Linked DNA regions of Nothobranchius furzeri. The protein of the gene in region 1 purifies or fractionates together with the protein of each later gene. This does not show direct contact. Links are inferred from orthologs where the notes say so. Each region holds a gene or a part of one and is shown in the gene's direction. Other genes may lie near its edges. The genes, in order: rbm17, sf3a2 and cherp.

Region 1 (6,222 bases):
AAGCGTTGGCAACGAATTGCGTCATCGATTTGTTGTGTCGCACAACTCTTCCAAAAGCGCCCCCCCTTCCCGCCCGCCGTTGCGCGCAGAGCAGAGCAAGTCAGATCAGCGCGAGGGAGAGCCGCAGATCAGCGCGAGGGAGAGCCGCAGATCAGCGCGAGGGAGAGCCGCAGATCAGCGCGAGGGAGAGCCGCAGATCAGCGCAAGGGAGAGCCGGCAGATCAGCGCGAGGGAGAGCCGGCAGACTTGCGCTGCTGCGAACCGGTTCCGCATTGTTGCACAGCGATCCAGGCAGCTGCTTCCAGCGCACGGTCCATTCTCAAAGTGGCGCAACCACAAAACTATAATTAGCACACGATCGTTCATGTCCGCACATGTTCTCTATTTTCTGTCTTATTTGTGCCTGAAGCTCGCTACTGCGGAGCTCATCACCTGTGCTGTGGTGATGTCACCTCACTGACGCAGCATCGAAAACGCGCTCTGCGCTTTTCGGTCAGGAGATCCCTTTGATCTGCTCAAAAGTAACTGATGAGGTGAAAAGGTAAGAATCCAGGCAACAGATTTTCTGGAGAATTAAGAGGAGATGCAGGAAGATGAGAGACAGACAGGACAGGAAAATAGTTCAATAAAAACAAGAAAACAAACAAAGTGTTGAAAAGTAAAATGTAGGTAGATTTATCTCCACTACACGTTTTTACCAGTAAAAAGCAATAAGTTCTACACATGTCATATTTATACATCTGATACAATTCAGATCACCTTCAAAACTCAGTCACACACCCAGGGCCGTTTCAAGACATTTTGGGGGCCAAGGCAAAATCCCCCCCCCCCCCCCCCCCAATAACTGGGCTCCCCAGAAGCCTCTGTGTAATTCATGCCCTCTCCAGTAGTGTTAGTTATACGGTGTTTATAAAAGCCCCTCAGACATTACTGACATGTTCTAATATTATCAGATGAAAAACTAAATTATCAGACATGCTGTCTCCTCTGCTTCTTTTATAAACTTGTAAAAAGTAACAAAACCATTTGAAAGCCACTATTTGTGGATTCTCTGAAAGTGTCCATGGAGTGTGTGACAACTTATTTTTTCATTGATCATATCGTCTAATCTCACAGCTGAAACAAGCATCCTTAATAATCTGTGCACAGGAAGCTTACCGATGCTGTAGTAAAACAAAAGGTATAATAATTTATTATTAATAAAACCTTGTTGCAGCACTAAAGCAGAAAAATTAGATTTTGCATTAAATACGCAAAATATTTACATATGAATTGTTTTAGAGCCCTTTAATTGGCAGAATCTGATATTAATTTAGTTCTTACAAAAAATGGGTCCCAACATGGTTTGTGTGGCGTTGCCATAGTGTGACGTTATAGGCACAGATCCCCTGTCCTCTTGTTTGGAAATGGAAATATGGTCACCCTAATTAAACAAACTGTCCACCCGGGCTTTTGCACTGCACAGAGACGCTTCGCTGCCTACGACTGAACGTCAGTTGAGAGTCAGTCTCATGCAGACTGACCGATGAAGAGAGGGCCTCAAGTTAAGACCCTCTCCTCATTGGTCAGTCCACACGAGGTGGGTCAAAGGTTACTCTGGGCGGGTTACGTGTTGTCAGGCATTCAAGTATTGAGTATATTTACTGCATATTACAGTAAAATATTCTGTATGTGACCACATTATGGTGTTCCTTGGGTCGTGATGATGGAGCCCTTGAATATTGTTGCCCAGGGTACAACAAAGTGTTAATCTGGCCCTGGTTCCGCCGTCACATTCCCGCAGAAACTGGTTGATCACACCGGGGCCAGACTACTAGCATGTGGTTTTACAACCACAATGTCCTCAGAAGCAAAAACGCTTTTAAAAGGGAGGGAGGAGTCCTAACTGTTGCTGCAGGCGTGTTGTGTGAGAGTGCAGTTATATACTGGTTAATATATTTTTGGGTTCAGTTGCTTTCATGTGGCCTAATGTGAGTCTATTTGGGATCATTGGAATGATCAGCAGCATTTCTTGGTGTGACTTTATGGCAGTTGCCCAGGGCATCATCACAAGGAGGATGGCATTCATTTACTTTTGTTTTATTTGGTATTTTTTCAGTCATTTTTGGAAATAGTGATCAATTTTGATTAATTCACAGCCTATGTTTAATTACATTTAAAATAAATGTCAACAGATGAGATCAAACAAAACAGATGAGAATTGCCCTTAAGCTGTTTAACTTGGACCAAGCATTTTAGGTCACAGATAGATGTAGCTTAGGGTCTCTGTCTATACACCTTATAAGACAATTTAGGTGATGGCATGTTGTTTTTCTGCTATTGAACTGTTTTCTAATAATGTTGTGTTAAATAAAGTGAAGGAAGGAGAGAAATAACGTTTCCCTAGCAGTTTTTAAAAATTTCCCCATGTAATCCGATTAATCGTGTCGAGACCCCATCCGATTAATCGATTATCCAAATAATCGTTTGTTGCAGCCCTAGCCGGTATCTGTCAGCTGCCTCTGGAGTCCCACAGGCCAGAAATACCTGATAGGACTCTTTCTTCAGCTTGACAGCATCCCTAACTGCCGGTGTCCACCAGCGGGTTCGGGAGTTGCCACCACGACAGGCACCGATGATCCTTCGACCACAGCTCCGGTCGGCCGCCTCAACAGTGGAGGCTGATGCCCAGCCAAGGTGTGGGGGGCATCCATTTTGGTGGCCTGAGGATCAGGTCTCTGCTTTTTGCAGATGATGTGGTCCTGTTGGCTTCATCAGAACGTGATCTTCAGCTTTCGCTGGAGCGGTTCACAGCCGAGTGTGAAGCAGCTGGGATGAGAATCAGCTCCTCTAAATCTGAGACCATAGTCTTGATTCCGAAAAGGGTAGAATGCCTTCTCTGGGTCAGGGATGAGGTCCTGCCCCAAGTGGAGGAGTTTAAGTATTTCAGGGTCTTGTTCACGAGTGAGGGAAAACTGGAGCGTGAGATCGATAGACGGATTGGTGCTGCATCTGCAGTGATGCGGGCGTTGTACCGGTCTGTCGTGGTGAAGAGAGAGCTGAGTCGGAAGGCGAAGCTCTCGATTTACCGGTCGATCAACATTCCTACCCTCACCTATGGTCATGAGTTTTGGGTAGTGACCGAAAGAACGAGAACGCGGATACAAGCGGCCGAAATGAGTTTTCTCTGAAGAGTGGCTGGGCTCTCCCTTAGAGATAGGGTGAGAAGCTCGGTCATCTGGGAGGGGCTCGGAGTAGACCCGCTGTTCCTCCACATCGAGAGGAGCCAGTTAAGGGTGGCTCGGGCATCTGGTCAGGATGCCTCCTGGACGCCTCCCTGGTGAGGTTTTCTGGGCACGTCCAACCGGGAAGAGACCTAAATGTAGACCCAGGACACGGTGGAGGGACTATGTCTCTCACCTGGCCAGGGAACGCCTTGGGATTCTCCCGGAAGTGCTGGCCCAATTGGCTGGGGAGAGGGAAGTCTGGGCCTCTCGCCTTCGTGACCCAACTCCGGATAAGCGTATGGATGGATGGATGGATGGATGGATATATATATATATATATATATATATATATATATATATATATATATATATATAATACAGAGAAGGCTCCTTTAACAGAAAGTGGAAATGGAGATAACACATGAATGGTTGCTGTTACTAAACTATTGACATTATTCTTTCATACTCTTGGTTTTTATTTGTATATTTGAACAAGACATTTGTACCATTTTCCAACAGATTTCCTGGAAGATTAACAGCATTTTTGTTCCTGAATGACCCATTTAGAGCCAGTCGTGCTTAACACAATAAAACCACCGCTTTATCCTGACGTTAACGGCTAAAATAAATGGGAAAAGTACACAAGACACTGAATGGTTTCATTTATCGCATGTTCTAGGTTAACCTTTTGTTCCACACATTCTCCAGCATACCTGCAGCCTGTAAATATTGTTTTGCGAATGAAAAAATGTGACTAATGTTTGTTTTTACCGATCAGTGGATCCTTCCAAGAAGTCAGATGCCAATCCACTCACTGAGATCCTGAAAAACCCAACTAAAGTGGTTCTGTTGAGGGTATGTCTTTGTTACACCATCATTAATTTCTCAAGCATGGTTGGAATTAACCTCTGCTGAAAGAAAACCAGAGTCAAAGCAGTTTGAAGTTAGATAATAAAGTTATTTTCCCCCGTTTATTATGTAGAACATGGTGGGTCGGGGAGAAGTGGACGAAGACTTGGAGGGAGAGACAAAAGAAGAGTGTGAAAAATATGGCAAAGTTGTTAAATGTGTCATTTTTGAGGTAAGAAGAATGAAGATCAAGTAGATGGAGGTAAAGTGATCAGATGAGACAGAGAAAGATGTTTTTTCTCCTCAGATCGCAGAAGTGCTAGATGATGAAGCCGTCAGGATATTTCTGGAGTTTGAGCGGGTCGAGTCGGCCATCAAAGGTCAGTGTTCACCGTCACATATAAGAGATCAACTTTACATAATTGCTTCACTTTCTTCCCATGATTGTGTAGCTGCTCTAATAATGTGGGTGAAAGTGTGTCCCTCTCTAAATGAGTTGGCCCAGATCTGAAACAAGGGGAGACTCGGTTCCCTGTGGTGTTATGTCATATGTGGCCTAGCAACCCAGTCGTCTCCCCACGGCACCAACAGAACCGGTCTTACATCACAGCTTACTGAAAGCAGGGCGCACCGTTAAAGAACCTGTCATGCTACAAGATTGGTTTTGTCAACAAAAAGGGTTACTAAGTGGAGAAATCTCTTAATGCATGCTAGGATCATGGCGGTAATAGAATCTTCAACTTATTTTACCACTTGGTTCTTTTGTTTTCATTCCCCACTTAAGTCTCAGGTTTATTCCTTCTGTCTAGTCTAACCCACGCTTACAGTTCAGTTTGTATTATTGTCATCGGTTATCAAAGCTGAGGTCAGGTCCCCACTAGGGGTCATGAAACACAGGATTGGGGATGGGTACCGAGATGATCTGACATCGAATGACCCTAAAATCACTGCCGATGGCGTATTTAGCCTTAATGTTAGTCAGTAGAACAGAGAAGTGTAATTGTTGACAAGTCTTTTGTTAAACTACTTTTCATGTGTTTGTAGATTTAATCCAGTAATAATTGGGTCCTGGATCTTTATGGCTATGTTTTATCGTCTTCGTCTTCATCTTCCTCCGCTTATCCGGGTCCGGGTCGCGGGGGCAGCATCCCAATTAGGGAGCTCCAGGCCGTCCTCTCCCCGGCCTTGTCCACCAGCTCCTCCGGCAGGACCCCAAGGCGTTCCCGGACCAGATTGGAGATGTAACCTCTCCAACGTGTCCTGGGTCGACCCGGGGGCCTTCTGCCGGCAGGACATGCCCGAAACACCTCCCCGGGGAGGCGTCCAGGAGGCATCCTGACCAGATGCCCAAACCACCTCAACTGGCTCCTTTCGATCCGGAGGAGCAGCGGTTCTACTCCGAGTCCCTCCCGAATGTCCGAGCTCCTCACCCTATCTCTAAGGCTGAGCCCGGCCACCCTACGGAGGAAACTCATTTTGGCCGCTTGTATCCGCGATCTCGTTCTTTCGGTCATTACCCAAAGCTCATGACCATAGGTGAGGATTGGGACGTAGATCGACCGGTAAATCGAGAGCCTGGCTTTCTGGCTCAGCTCCCTCTTCCCCACGACAGATCGGCTCAGCGTCCGCATGACTGCAGACGCCGAACCAATCCGCCTGTCGATCTCCCGATCCCTCCTACCCTCACTCGTGAACAAGACCCGAGATACTTAAACTCCTCTATGTTTTATTCTTTTTTAAATCTGAAATTATTGTGGCTTCTCTCATGTAGTCTGATGTTACATCTGTGTCCTCTGCAGCTGTTGTGGATCTAAATGGACGTTATTTTGGAGGACGAGTCGTCAAGGCCTGCTTCTACAATCTAGACAAGTTTCGGGTTTTGGATCTTGGTGAGCAGGTCTGATGTTTCCCTAAGAACATCGGCTTGTGCTGTCCTCAGCTTCTCATGTGTACAAAATTGTCTGTTTCTATATTTTCCAAACATTAGTGTCTGTTGAGTCTTTTTTGTTAAATACCTCCATGTTGAGAGAAAATAAAAGGTGTAAGTTGTACCTTGTGTTGTGCCTGTGTTATTCATCAGTGTTTTATTCTGAAACAAAAACCAGACTTGTCATGTAAACATCCTCTAAGACAGAAGCTCCCACTTTCCAAGAAACTCAGTTTCCCT
Region 2 (7,613 bases), on another chromosome or scaffold:
ACATTTCAAATAGAGTTAAAATAATAATATAAATGCAGTAGTTTCGTTGTTTATCATGTCGACTTATTCTGATTCTTTATCCGATGTCCTGAAAACGTGATGGAGAGTGTTTGGTTATTTCCAGGGTGAAGTAAAGTCAAGTGAACGGCATCTGCTAAACAAACAGGAAACGCTGATCGGTTCTTCTTCTAGTGGAGAGTTTAACGGTGCTTGTTAAACCAAATAGAAATACGCTTTCGCCACCTAGTGGGCTAACGCTTAAATGGCTCGTAAGAGCGAGGAGTTGCATGATGTCTGGATAGATAACTTTATAAACGTTCACTGATTAATATTAAAACTTTATGTTCCTCAAATACATTAAATATATGTTTGAGTGCTTCTGACTGAACAATAAACATTTACTCATTACTTGAGGTAGTTTTTGTCCCGTGCCCTGCAACTACAAAATAATTTTTCTAGTTTTTCCTATTGTTTTATAAACATTGAATTATAAATTACTTTATTTTCTTACAGGACTTACTATTTTCTTTTGTTAAACCGTGGCACATATAGCAAAATATTTCCTGAAGTATTTTAAAATGAAAATAATTATTACATTTTAGAAAAAAATCAAACATCACTCTGTTCAGGTTATGTTCTTCTTTTTCTTAACTGAAAAGTACTACTATGCCACGACAAAACGTTGCAGTATAAAAATTGATTCGCAAAATAATATTGCAAGACTTAAAATGAAGCACATTGATTTAAAAATCCATGATTGGGAGAAAAGAGTATTGAAAAGATTCCTTGTTAAATTAAATAACTGGAATAACACCAAATGTTGAACTGGTTGGTTTTATGCCTGTTTAAACTGCTGATACTAGCTCATCAAATTCAAAGCTCGTGCTCCATGAGAGCTAAGTGTAGTGAAAAATGGGTTTAGCAAAATTGACAAAGCAAAAGCATCCATCTGTTTTCTTCTGCTTATATGGAGTCAGCTTGTGGGGGCAGCAGCCTAAGCTAAGAGGCCCTCCCCAGGTTGGGCCAGCTCCTCCAGGGGAATCCCAAGGCGTTCCCTTGCCATTCGTGTGACATAGTCCCTCCAACATGTCCTGGGTCTTCTTTAGGTCTCCTCCAGGTTGGACATGCTCAGAAAACCTCACCATGGAGGCATCTAGGAGGCATCCTAATCAGATGCCTGAGCCACCTCAACTGGCTCCTCTACACCGAGCCCCTCCGGATGACTGAACTTCTCACCCTATCTCTAAGTGAGAGCCCAGAAACCCTGCAGAGAAAACTAATTTTGGCTTCTTGTATCTGCAATCTCGTTCTTTTGGTCACTACCCAAAGCTCATGACTAAAGGTGAGGGTAGGAACATAGATCGGCCGGTAAATCGAGAGCTTCGCCTTCTGGCTCAGCTCTCTCTTCACTACGACAGATCGGTACAACGTCCGCATTACTGCAGACACGATCTCATCCCACCTGTAAATCTCACTCGCCATCTTTCCCTCACTCGTGAACAAGACCCTGAGATGTATAAACTCCTCCACTTGGGGCAGGATCTCATCCCTGGACCCAGAGAAGGCATTCTACCCTTTTCTGACTCAGGACCATAGTCTCGGATTTAGAGGAGCTGATGCTCATCCCAGCTGCTTCACATTCGTTTGTGAACTGCTCCAGTGAGAGACGGAGATCACGTTCTGATGAAGCCATCAGGACCATGTCATCTGCAAAAAGCAGAGACCCCATCCTTAGGCCACCAAAATGAATGCCTTCAACACTTTGGCTGTGCCTCGAAATTCTCCATAAAAGTTATGAATAGAATTGGTGACAAAGGGCAGCCTTGGCAGAGTCAACCTCTCACCGGAAACGAACCCGGCCTACTGCTGGCAATGCGGACCAAGCACTGACACCAGTCATATAGGGACCTTACAGCCCCTATCAGAGGGCCTGGTACCCCATACTCCCAAAGTACCCCCACAGGGTCCCCCGAGAGATGCGGTCCAACACCTTGTCTAAATCTACAATTAGTTTAAATCCAGACCCTAAAAGTGAAAGCAACAAAATCAATAAAAGTTGGGAAACAAAACCATAGCAAAAGAAATAATACAAACAATTGATCCAAAATTAAAGAGAACATATTAAATAAATAAACAAAAATGCAAATGTTTCATATCGTTTTTTTAATTTATTTTTCACATTTTAAATGTAGCCCTTTACTCCTAAATAAACTAATCTCTTAGGTCTTTATTATATGCTTTTATCCGCAAACGTTTGTTCGTCGGTCAGTTTTACTCCTGACCACTAGATGGCAATGAATGTTTGAAACTATTTATGAACTGCTTAAGCTGAGAACCAACACGCATGCGCAAAACAATTCTGTCCATCACAGTTTGTCGTTAGATTTGTTTGGGAGAACGTAAGTTTATTTATAATATTTAGCTAGTATTTTGTTGTGCAGTTCGCTGAGCAGTAACGCTAAAACATTGATTAGGCTATATTTAATTTCATTCTGATAGTTTGTTCATTTTGGTAGGTTTAAAACTATCCTTGCATATATGGTAGCACTGTTAGCATTGTCAGAACGACGTCCATCGATGCTAAATGCTAACAGTAAAATGTGCGCGAAAGGATAGTTCAATATAGGGATTTTCTAGTTATGTTATTAAAAATTAAGACGTTTCAACCTAGAATCATGACAAATTGATAAATTGATGAAAGGGGTGTCGGGAAGAAAGTCTTTATGATTTGAGTTATAGATTTAACACATACACGCATACATACATATACAGTCCTGACTAATGTTCACTATTAATACTACATTTAAGGAACTGTGCCGCTCAGATATTCATTCTGGCTGCTGTAACACATAGCGTTACCATTTTATCAGCAATTATATGAAAGTTGTTGAATTTATATTTATGATAGTGTTACTACGTGCATACTGCTTTGTACAGTACTTATAGTTGTGAATGTTTTCTACATTTGAAATAGCATATGTTTCTCAGTTTTATAGGGATGGTAAAAATAAAACACCAGGGGTTCAGTTTTAACTGAACTGGCTTTTTCTGTTTTTTGTTTTGTGTTTATTTGAAGAAATACACGATACATTATGTTTGGTCTGTCCCTTTGATGCTATATGTTTATGTTGTCTTTAGACTGAGTTCATCACTTCAAAAAAATGGATTTCCAGCATCGAGCTGGAGGGAAGACTGGAAGTGGAGGGGTGGCGTCTGCCTCTGAGAGTAACCGGGACAGGCGTGAACGGTTACGTCAGCTGGCTCTAGAGACCATCGACATCAACAAGGACCCCTATTTTATGAAGAATCATTTAGGTTCTTATGAATGCAAACTTTGTTTGACACTTCACAACAATGAGGTGAGGAGGCACTTAACGGATTGGATTGGGCTATGTTAGAATTTTTGATATTTGGGAATTGTGTTTCTAAAGAAAACCCTCTACTTGATTTTAGGGCAGCTACTTGGCTCACACACAGGGAAAGAAGCATCAGACCAATTTGTAAGTCAACCTAAAACATTCTCTAACACAATTAATTGCTACTAGTTCAATATTTGTCAGTAAACATTTTCCTGTATAATTTTTTCTTTCTGAGTTAAATCTTTTCTATTTGGTGTTTTAGAGCACGAAGAGCAGCCAAAGAGGCAAAAGAAGCGCCGGCTCAACCAGCTCCAGCAAAGGTTAAAGTTGAGGTCAAGAAGTTTGTCAAAATCGGTCGACCAGGATACAAAGGTACACTGGCTGCATGGTTCTATATTAGATCAACATTATTTGGCTTTTTGTAACAACTTTTGATCCTCGTCTTTCTCTTTTTTTCACAGTGACAAAACAGAGGGACCCAGAGACTGGTCAGCAGTCTTTACTTTTTCAGGTGAAAATAAAAAATATATTTTAATTCTGGAAAAATCCTGCTGTGTTTCTGGGAATCTGAGACACTTGATAATAGGCTTTATGCTTTATTGTTCGTGTGAAACCAAAGTTAAATGCCATCATATGTTTAGCTCCACTTTAATTATTTTCCAGCCCAATATAACAGTTTTGCTCCCATTGTATGACCCCATTGTGGACACCACTTGAAGATGCGTTGCAGATACAAAACAAACTCCTATAGTTCCTATCAGGGCAATAATAACCAGATGTTACAACATCTGACAAGTTGTTTTTATTTCCCATATTAATCAGATCGACTATCCAGAGGTTGCTGAAGGAATTGGACCCAGGCACCGTTTCATGTCTGCTTATGAGCAGCGTATCGAGCCTCCTGACCGTCGCTGGCAGTACCTGCTGTTTGCTGCTGAACCATATGAAACTATTTCCTTTAAGGTGGATGAAAACTGTAATTTTTGTCATTGTGCTCATGTGTCACATTTCCGTAACATTAAAATGTTTGCTCCTTTAAGGTCCCCAGCAGGGAAATTGATAAAGCAGAAAACCGCTTCTGGACTCACTGGAACAGGGAAACTAAACAGGTACTGACTCTGCTTTGTTTTTACTAAAAAACTAATTTAAAAAATTTTCTAATGTATGAATGTTTTGTTTTCGTTCAGTTTTTCCTGCAGTTCCACTTTAAAATGGAGAAAGCCATTTCTGGTGGTCCAGCTCCTCCTGGCAACTTAAAGCACCCCGCTTCACTTATGAGTGGCCACCCATCAAACGACGGTCTTCCACCTCCACCACCAGGAGGGATGTCTGTTCCTCCTCTGCCACCCGGGGCACCAGGTCCCCCCCAAATGCCCCCACAAATGCCCATGCCCCCCATGCCAATGAGGCCACCTCCCCCAGAGGGCCTTATGCAGTGATAATTTGCTGTTAGAAATTGCATTGGTGGTCAGTTGTTCTGCTCTGCCTGTTTTGTATTTTTAGGATGTTGGATATCTTCAGTAGATTTTCATAACTTTGTTTGCCTAAAAATAAAATTCTAAAGCTAAATGTTATGGAAACATTATCGTCCTCTTGTAAACTAATATCTGGACACATTTTTATTTCTTATGTCCATTTTTTAATTAAAATACACAAATACTGAAAATACCTGAGTGTTTGTTCTACAAAAAATACAGAGAATTATCTGAAGTTTACTCTGATCAGGTTAAAATAAAACAAATCAACAAAATTGATTTTTCTGTATTTAAATTGATCTTCAACACTGCCTAAATCAGTTTGAATTATATTTTAACAGCAGTTTTCATTTTGGTATCAATTATTCAGACTATGTATTCAGTGTATGTACTCATAAAATCTTTTTAAAATAAAATGTTTTAATTTTATGAACTTCTGCTGAACACACAGATGTTTTATTTTTTTGTGACCCAAGTTTCCAGGGGTGACCATGACCCCAATTGGAAACCTTTTGAGGACTGTTGGTAATCACAAACTATGGATTAGAGAACATTCTCAAAAAAATTTGATGTGCTCCACGCCAAATATCATTCAAGAGTTTCTTTGTCCTGTGTCTGTGGACACTCCAGTCTGCTGCAATGAAGACCTCTGAAGATATCCATCAGCATTGCTTTCTCTGGCAGAAGACTTTCGAAGATGCTCCATGGCATTGCAAAAGTGTTCGCCTTACCCTTCGCTGCCACTGGCCCAGTTTGGAGCCTTTGTTTGGGCATTTCACCTCGGAGATGTGACAAACTGAATTTATGTTTATGTATTTAGCAGAATTTGTATAATGTTTCATACAATCTATTTGTAAGAATCGTTAATCACGATTTTTGTAGCTCATGTTTGCAGTAGATTTTCTGCCTTACACGAGTAACCAACGGGGGGCGCTCTAGAGTCGTTTACAGCATTTGCCCCATTTAATCACAAGTGGGGGATGAAATTATGTTTCTAGTTAGGCACATCTATTTAACAATATGCGCACAGTTTAACCTGACTACGTTTTTTTTTATTCTGACAGCGTCCGTACCTCATATTTTGTCAATATATTTTGACATGTTCTGATATATTTTTTGTAAAGGAGGCTGACCTATATAATTGTAAAATACCAGACAATTAACGAATATTAGCCTGCGTGGCTTATCATTTCAAGGCCTGGGTGCGGTTTACACATCGCACCAGCCACGCCTTTTCCTGTCACAACGGAACAGTCGTTCGTAAAGACGGCGGGTCAGCTGACAGGCATCAGCGGACCGGGGGAAGGAAGAAGCGGAATTTGCGGCTGTGAGCAGGGATTCTGTTGGACATAAAATACACCCAAAGGCTAGCCTGGAAGCCAAAGAGTGGTGGTGTTCGTGAAAGAACAAGAGTAAGTTAACGAAACGGAGATTCAGTCATGTATTTTTGCAGTAAAAACGATTTACTGTGATCTGTAAACCGCCAGAGAAAACAGGTGAGCGCTCTCTTTCGTTGACGACGCTAACATTAGCAACTCCTCAGCTAACCGCGGCTAGTTAACGTCAAGCTAGCCGCGGTTAGCTTGATGATAACGGAAAGCATGCTTTAAGATTCCTTCAAAGCTTAAAACGTGCCATCACATAACATTTTGATGCTGTTTTAGTTGGTTTGTTATGTAATTCATATCGTTTACACGTAAGTCACTGTAACTTGCTGTAACACACGCGATAACCTCAGTTTTTCTACCCACCGGAAGCCCGTTAAAAATCCGCTCGGCTCGCTGAGGATCGTCGGCAGCTAGCCTGCTAAATTAGCTAGCCATCGCTGTCTTCAGGGTATTCTCCATCACTTTGATCATACTGAAGGTCAAATTTTGAACCGAGCTAATACATTTAAATAACGTTTTAAACAAACCATACAGGGAAAAGATTATACATCGATGGTAGAAAAATATATAAAATGTATGAACATTGGTAAATGGCCCGAGTGAGCAGACATCTTGACTAAACCGATAAATGTACGATTCAGGTTTGGTGCAGGGTTTAATCGGTCACGACTGCTAGTAGTAATTTGTTTAAGAAAATTCTCAACACTCTCTATAAAAGTGTTTCAGTTATGCCTTCTAGGAATGCCATGGATGTCCTTTTTCCATCCTAAATTTTCTAGAAGCAGCATTTTTTAAACTGGCAGTTTTATTAGTAAAATACACTTAATTAAAAAAAACTTACATCCCCACGGGGATAAAAATGGTACATTTCGGATGTTAGTCCTACCAGGTCTAGGTAGGGTTTAGCGGACTATGATGATCTCAGATTTATATCTTTATCTGGTAGCATCCTACCCCAAACCGGTGGCTGCTGCTAATCTGTTAATCTTATTTGGAAGTGTGTGTGTGTGTGTGTGTGTGTGTGTGTGTGTGTGTGTGTGTGTGTGTGTGTGTGTGTGTGTGAGAAAGAGAGAGGTGAAGCTGCCTAAAAAGCTGGTGCAGCTATGCAAATGAGTGATTTAATAAAGTCACTAATGGTGTAGTGCAGCTGCAAGAGAGTGTGTGAGTGAGAGAAACAGGAAAACGGATGCGAGGGACAAGTGCCTCTCTGTACTGTGGGTGACTTTTACTTTACACTGCTTTTACTTTCCTATCTCCCCTTTTCCTTCCCAAATTTCAATCTTTTTTTTTATCCTCAGGAGGGGTTTGGTTTCATCATGGCAAGTTGGGATTGAGAAGCATTCACAATGATTGGAGGATTGTTCATCTACAACCACAAGGGAGAGGTTCTC
Region 3 (7,535 bases), on another chromosome or scaffold:
ATTTATATTTACCTCAGCAAAAGTATAAACTCCAACTACAAGTTGGTTTCCTGGGTGTTTACTCACTCAGATCAGAGGGGGTTGTTTTCAGCGCTCCTACCTCTATACGGGGATCCTGACAGTACTCTTTTAGTAGATCCAGAACCGCTAAATCACCAATCGCTCCCAGAGCTTCCCCTACGATCACAGAGTGACAAACAGAACGAGACGATCAGAGATGCTTTAATTTCTCATCCTTTTCTTTTATTCTGTCATGAACAAAGGCCGACTGGGTGAAAGTAGCTGTCATGGACACCACAAACATAGCATAACCATTTATGGAGATCCAGCAGCAGCTTAGATGTCAAATATTAACCATCCTCCTAAATATTAAAAACTAAATAAATCAAAACAGATTATGAACTGATTCTTAAAAGGATCCTTTTCTGCTAGCAAAGAAACGGTGAAAGGTTTTCAGCAGCAGGTAGGAGTGTACTTTGTTCCAGAAATTATCGGTTTTTATTGTAACAATTAGTTTGATATTGAGTCATTTCCTTGTGTGAGGCTGTTTACCTGCTTCATGCCTGACCATTGGCTCCTGATTTGTGTCTTTGAGAACATGGGTTAAAATGGGAACGGCTCTTTTGTCCTGCATCTGTCCCAGGCAGTAGGCCAGCTCGTGCTTCAGTAAGGCTGAATCATCAGTGAAGGCCTTGCTGATCCACTCGATCGCCTCAGCACCTGACAAAAACAACCTGAATCAGTCCGGCGTGCGGTTCTTTTCCAGCTGTGTGTTGGACCCTTTGATGTTAGAGAGAAATATTCTCTCGGGTTTTGTTTCAAAGCAGTTACGGTCCCAGTAGTCTGACTGTTATGATAACATAAAAAGCAGATGATCAGTAGATGAACAGCTGACATTATGGGATGGTTGATCTAGTCACAGTCATACAGTACCAATAACAAACATACTAAGGTAGTTCTTCATCACTAGAGGAAACCTGGAACATCCAGCATGGGTCTAATGAACCAACAAGTTCTTAAATATTTTGTAGTTAGTGGTTTTATTATTCGGTTTATGTGAGAAAGCATCAACCCAAAACCAGAAACACCCAGAAGACTTACCTCCCAGATTCCTCAGGGTGAACAAGGCTCTGAAGCGCTGGGTCAGGTTCCGTGCTGGGTCCACCAGGACTCGTCCTACCGCCGCTACCTGCTCCACGGTAGCCATGCTGCAGCCCAGAAACATACAGCCGTTACTCCGCTGTTGATCACCAGTTTAAACACCTACTGGGGAAACAGGTGAAGACCATTCTGACAATCAAATAATTACTTATTCCGTAGCTCTGTCAGAAAAGCCACTGTAACTTATCACCCAGCAGCACGTTTGTGCCCACTCACGGCTAATGGGGAGAGCACACCGTCAGCCAGCAGAGGCGCCGGTATCCGGTGGAAAACTATCACGTTTACCGTCTATAATTAAACGTTTATCACAAGCGACCAAGAAACAATCACAGAGATCTGCTGACAAGTTGAAGAAGGACAGTTGTATACAGACCCCACCGTGGCCGGAGAGTCTCACAGCGAAAAACGTCAGTTCTTCTTTAGCAGCGTTTAAACACCACGCTGGTGCATTACTGCCACCTAGTGGATTGGAGTGTGAGTGGTCAGTAGTTCATCCCTACTGCGTAAAGCTACGTTTATTTTTGTGTAAAACAAAATAGTGTCGAATATAAGTTTAAGACCCCTCGAAAACGGCAATTAAAATAAACAAATAAATAAATTACTTAATAAAATAATAATAATAATAATATAATTATTATTATTATTATTATTATTATTATTGTTGATGTTGATGATGTTATTATTATTATTATTGTTGTTGTTATTGTTATTATTATTGGGGGAAAGGAATGAGGTGGATAAATGTGAATCTTTATATACATTTTTTTAAATAAAATTTACATTAAAATGATTTTGCTTTGGACAGAAGTTGTTTAGTTTTGGTTATTTTCCTTCTGATGATGACACAGTGATTTATTTAATGGATTCTATGGTTGATGTTTACTCTGAGGGGCTAAAGCTGAAGCATGACTAAAGACAGAGCACATTCACAGTTTGTAAATCGTGACAAATGTTACTGAAAGGACTCAACCAAATTCTTTTCTACTAAAACTTTATTGATTTTAACATGGTTTTTCTTTCTTCATTCAGATAATCTGTATTCATCTCAGAGCTGCAGCCGTGCATCATCCTGTATGGGAAAGAAAGTTGTTTACTTTAGTTTTCTAACCAGGCACGCTTTAAAAATGAGATGTTGGAAGAAAAGCTAAGAAAGTTGTTTTGAATGAGTTTCTGGTTGAATCTGTTCACATTGAGATAAAACCATTTTTTCTTGACTGTTTCTGAAGCTGCTCAAAGGAAACCGTTCACTGTGCACTATACCTCACTTTTTGAAATTCGTTTCTAATTGTGATTCTGGTTGTTTAAAATGAACTGATTATTTGTACATCCTGTAAATTTGTGCCAATTTCACAAATTCACATGAACCTGCAAGGAAGGAATGTGTGATTTAACAAAATCTTGTTCAACTGGTATTATTTCCAGTTTAAATTGGTTTAATTCAGAGTTTACATATCAGTTGGATACAAAGGCACAACTCTTTAATCGTGTGATTTTCTTTGACAGTCGGACATGAATCTCCTTTTGTTATCATTCTGACAAAGAAAATGACATTTATGGTGAAGAGGAGAATCCTGGAAAGTCTGCATACGTCTGTTGATGCTGATGAACCGTGTGATCTCTGTCTACCAAGCCAGGTGATGAGCATCCAGCTGTGCAGGACACCATGCGATTGTGTGGAGGCAGTACCAGTGAGTTACTGAAGACTCAAATTGTACTTAGCAGGGTTGCCAAAAATGTCTAATGTATAAATTTGTAGTTACATACTGCAGTCAGCAATGTGCACAGCAAAATCTGTCAGAAAATAATTAAAATCATCCAAGAAAATTTCTGTCTCATTCTGTTTGGTTGTTACATGAGAAATTTATTTTGGACTCATTTGGGTTCACCTCTAAATCCTATTTTCAAGTTTTCAACTTCTGATGAACTTCAGAAACCAAAACTGACTGAGGGGTGATGTTTTGTGAGAAACGGCACTCCAGATGAGTGATTACTTCAACAATAGTTTCTCCGTGAGTCGAAATTTTAAGTTTATTGTTAATTTCTAGGTATTCTTATATTTTTCATGAATCCTCAGTTTTACGATCTGCAATGGTATCTTTTTCATTCAGTATTATCTGGAAACTTTCCAGATCTGATAGCTTTGAAATGTAATTGGCTAAGGCCACAAAGCAACATGAAATTTATGAAAATCTTCAAAACCAGTTCAAAACTCCCAATATGCGGTCGTTTCCCCTCCTACACCTAGGGGGTGCTATGTGCAGTCAGACTGCAGTTTTCAGCTGGGCCCGCGCTGTTTCTACTTACAATTTCCGGTATTTTGCAGGGTCAAACGACGCCAATGTTTCTGTGAGGACAATTTGATAAAAGGCTAAAACACAAATTAAATATTAACATATTTGTGTCCGATATATATACTGGCCGGTGTTTATACACATTCTGAGTGATCATAACGTCATGGAAATCCCCAATCCGCCTGAAGGTGAGCGGAAGCCCGCTGCGTTTCTAATTTGATTCAGCGTGATGCTATTTTGCTCAGCTAACGTTAGCTTACCTTACAGTTAGCTTGAGACAGCATTTAATTGATATTATGCAATTTTTTCAGGTCCAGGTTACATTGAAGCTTTGTTATAATAAATTAGAAACATTTAGTCAGCCGTAATTACATTTCAATGTTTACGTTTTAGTGGAATTAACTTTCCTGGTTGCTAACATTTTCAGTAAAATCCCGATTAATCCAGAGAAGTGAGGTAACTGTGTGTCGAACCAAATTTGTATATCTTTTCAACCTCGTTCCTAAAGTATCCTTACACGAGAAACCAAACCTCAGTAGCAGCAGCAGAGAGGAAATAGTTTTTAATATTTTGCGCAAGTTGGTGTTTGATCCTTGGGGTTACACAGAACCGAGTCTGGGTCAGATGCCTCAGTTCTGCTTCTCCGGTTTAATGTTGGTAAAAAAATTAAGTTTAATTGTTTTTAGGATTTCAAACATAAAATATCATTTGACATTTTAGTGTAAATCATAGTTAAATCTTTGTTTGGTCTTTTTAACCCAAATTCTTCATTTCAGATCAGGAACTGAGGAATGTGATTGACAAACTTGCACAGTTTGTTGCACGAAATGGTCCGGAGTTTGAAAAGATGACGATGGAGAAACAGAAGGACAACCCCAAGTTTTCCTTTCTTTTTGGTGGAGATTACTTCAGCTACTACAAGTGCAGACTTGCAATGGAGCAACAACAACGTACGTAGTGAAAAGGACTGTCCACCAGTTTGGCAGCCACAAACATGTTCAAGCACACCGTCTCAGGCTGGACATGCAGACCACCAAGTTACAGTGTTCTTCGTGGCTTCGTTCAGTCTCATTTTAGAAAAAAGAGCCATCATGCGATTGAATTAGCTAGACATGACATTTTAGACTTTGAAGATATTTGTTTTGTTTTCAGGCGAATTTCCTTGTTTTGAGATCTTATTGTGTCATCTTAGCTGTATCTCCATGATGGGGCTGATGAAAATCCTTCATAATGATGGCCTTTTGGCAGTTTGAGCAGTTCATGGATTATCTGTGCCTGAGCTTCAGCTGCATACATTATTGAAGTTTTTGATTTAAGTCCCCCAAACCTTCTGACTTGAGTTTATGGTTCTTCCTCCTGGTGTTTTGTAGATATATTCATCCCCACTGCCAAAGATGTGGCGGACCTCCCTCCTTTGTCAATTCAGATGATTGCTCCACCTACAGTTCCTCCACCAGCTGCACCCCCTGTCGATGAGCTCATCCAACAGAGCCAGTGGAATATGCAGCAGCAGGAGCAACACCTGCACACACTAAGACAGGTGCAAAGAACAGATCCTCTTGTTTTCAAGCGACGCACAAAGATTGTAGAAGATTACTTTTATATGTCTGAGTGTCAAACAGTAGCTGGCAGATGTATCATGTTGTAAAAGAGGAAAAAGTTGTTTTTTAAAGACACCAAACACATTTCACTGGCTGTAGTACTCGTTTCAGTAGCAAACGTAACACCTGCTACATTCACAGAAACATTGCTAGAAAAGAAATTTGAAATAATATAATTAATTTATTAATTTTTCCATAGGAACAAGTAACCGCTGCCATCGCCTTGGCTATGGAGCAACAGACCCAGAAGCTTCTGCTTGAAACCCAGTTGGACATCACAGAGTTCGACAACCTGCTGCAGCCAATCATAGACACCTGCACCAAAGATGCCATCTCGGTAAGCATGTTACCACGGAGACCATGCCTTGCGTAGACTTGGACATCCCACTATTTCTCCTCTTTGACTCAGGCTGGTAAGAATTGGATGTTCACCAATGCCAAGACTCTGCAGCACTGTGAGCTGATGGCGTCGCATCTTCGGAACCGCATCACTGTTGACGACGCTCATTTTGAACTCCGCCTTCACCTCATTTACTTAACCAATGATGTTCTTCACCACTGGTAAACAAAACCTTCCTAAAACCTCACCCATCAGATGCATGATGTCATCTTGCCAACAGATGTTCTCTTCTAACTCCTTTAGCAGAAACTTCAGATTTAGTTAAAAGTCCCAGATTAATTCTCTTTGGAGTCGTTAAAACTTTAAATTCCGTTAGAAGTTTTATTTCTGCTGGTCAGCTGTTCCAAACTTGAGGAGCTTGTCGTCCGTCTCTGGTTTACAGCCTCTGCTAAATGTACTTCTGGATTTTAACATCGCTGTATGACCTCAGATGACGCATCAGAATTTTTTTTTAACGATGATTTTGGTATTGTAAAAAACATTTCTATAAATGAATAATTAAACAATTTAAAATAATTACACAATAAAAGCTGGTATACTGTGACACAAACATCAATCTTGGTTTTAAAAACAATTCATGTGTAGAACTCCGTCCTTGGTGATAAAAGTAAATATGATTTTGTTGTTTCTGTAATGTGATCTGCTTTATGTTGACTCACAGCCAGCGGAAGCAGCAGAAGGATTTATTGACAGCTCTGCAGAAGGTCGTTGTTCCCATCTACTGTACCAGCTTTCTTGCAGTAGAAGAAGAAAAGCAGCAGAAGATTACCCGGGTAACACTTCTTGGGACTTATTTTCAGATGAAAATGTCTCTTCCACAAAATGTTGAACATCATTGTTTCCTTACAGTTGTTGCAGCTATGGGAGAAGAACGGCTACTTTGATGAGGAGACCATTCAGCAGCTCCAGAATCCAGCGTTGGGCCTTGGACAGTACCAGGTGTGTAGAGAAAACACAAAGTCGGTGTAGGTAGGTAGGTAGGTAGGTAGGTAGTAGGGTTGTCACGGTATGAAAATTTAACCTCACGGTTATTGTGACCAAAATTATCACGGTTTTCGGTATTATCGCGGTATTTTTTAAACGGTGTTGCATATGTTCAGAAAGCATTGATAGTCCTGTTCTACACAAACTGAAATAGTTCTGAAAAGGTTTAACAGTATTTATTAAACCTAAAATAACACAAAGCCTTAGCAAAAGTGCAACTTTTCACAAGTAAAGGAACAAATAGCTTATTTTTCTGGAACATGTTACAGTAGTCAGTGCAGGTTTAAATTATACAAATCCAAACATTCAAAACATAAACAATATGTAAACAAATCAAAGAAACACCACTTGTTTTCTCATATACTTGTTTTCTTCATTATCAAAATGAAAATCTAAAACTCCAGTCCACACTTGACTTGAGCACTGTACAAGTCAACCTTAAAAAATATGTATTTAAAATAAATAGCCACTTTAAACAAATTACTAAAATAACTACTACACTATGTAATCAAATCCAAATGTTCAAGTATAAATGGCATTGAATAAGTAAACAAATCAATGACAAGGAACTAATTGTATATTTCTCTTCATCATCAACAAATAAGATGCTTCATCCAGCAACAGGGTGTCCGTGACACGGTTTAAATGCTGGCAGAGGACGCTGCGGCTGCAGTCTATAGTGACTCGTTGCATTCTCCCTCAACCAAAAGTCCTCACGTCATGCATTTCAGCTAAAATGCTAATGTTATCTTACCTTGCACTGGCTGTAGAGACGTGGGTGATCGTCACGCAGATGTGCCATTAGATTCGAAGTGTTGCTGCCTTCTGCAGACACTTGTTTCCTGCACGTTCTGCAAACGGGATAGCCGTCTTCTATTAACTGTCCCTCAGCATTTTTCAGAAATCCCAAATATGCCCATACTTCCGATTTAGTCTTCTTTGAGGGCTGATGGATGTCCTGGGCGCTGCCGTCGCCTCCTTCGGCCATTATTTCAGCTTCAAAGTTTTGGTGCTGTTGCAAATTAAAAAGTGCGTGTGCGCGCCGCGGGAACTTCAGCTGAAGCGACGGTGGCTGGTAAGGGTCATCGCGCCGAAACC

What was found.
Region 2: the proteins of rbm17 (region 1) and sf3a2 purify together in Homo sapiens (affinity purification with mass spectrometry; 4 studies listed by BioGRID and IntAct, counting the BioPlex papers as one, with this or other methods). This does not show direct contact. The link is inferred for Nothobranchius furzeri from reciprocal best matches to the Homo sapiens genes RBM17 and SF3A2.
Region 3: the proteins of rbm17 (region 1) and cherp purify together in Homo sapiens (co-immunoprecipitation; 4 studies listed by BioGRID and IntAct, counting the BioPlex papers as one, with this or other methods). This does not show direct contact. The link is inferred for Nothobranchius furzeri from reciprocal best matches to the Homo sapiens genes RBM17 and CHERP.

What each region holds. Positions count from the first base shown.
Region 1 is NC_091741.1:60,738,820-60,745,041, reverse strand, and holds the end of rbm17 (splicing factor 45), read left to right. Parts: intron 1-3,984; coding exon 3,985-4,061; intron 4,062-4,188; coding exon 4,189-4,287; intron 4,288-4,362; coding exon 4,363-4,435; intron 4,436-5,854; coding exon 5,855-5,958; 3' UTR 5,959-6,106; downstream 6,107-6,222. UniProt on the Homo sapiens protein: Splice factor that binds to the single-stranded 3'AG at the exon/intron border and promotes its utilization in the second catalytic step. Involved in the regulation of alternative splicing and the utilization of cryptic splice sites.
Region 2 is NC_091751.1:56,890,741-56,898,353, forward strand, and holds sf3a2 (splicing factor 3A subunit 2), read left to right. Parts: upstream 1-2,310; 5' UTR 2,311-2,399; intron 2,400-3,138; 5' UTR 3,139-3,161; coding exon 3,162-3,359; intron 3,360-3,453; coding exon 3,454-3,500; intron 3,501-3,621; coding exon 3,622-3,731; intron 3,732-3,820; coding exon 3,821-3,870; intron 3,871-4,181; coding exon 4,182-4,322; intron 4,323-4,399; coding exon 4,400-4,468; intron 4,469-4,546; coding exon 4,547-4,798; 3' UTR 4,799-5,025; downstream 5,026-7,613. Other genes in the region: AP-2 complex subunit mu-A, read left to right, coding at 7,569-7,613. UniProt on the Homo sapiens protein: Component of the 17S U2 SnRNP complex of the spliceosome, a large ribonucleoprotein complex that removes introns from transcribed pre-mRNAs.
Region 3 is NC_091756.1:55,801,155-55,808,689, forward strand, and holds the start of cherp (calcium homeostasis endoplasmic reticulum protein), read left to right. Parts: upstream 1-3,469; 5' UTR 3,470-3,615; coding exon 3,616-3,640; intron 3,641-4,228; coding exon 4,229-4,402; intron 4,403-4,822; coding exon 4,823-4,992; intron 4,993-5,252; coding exon 5,253-5,390; intron 5,391-5,462; coding exon 5,463-5,614; intron 5,615-6,114; coding exon 6,115-6,226; intron 6,227-6,302; coding exon 6,303-6,392; intron 6,393-7,535. Other genes in the region: dohh (deoxyhypusine hydroxylase), read right to left, coding at 101-177, 553-720, 1,102-1,225. UniProt on the Homo sapiens protein: Involved in calcium homeostasis, growth and proliferation.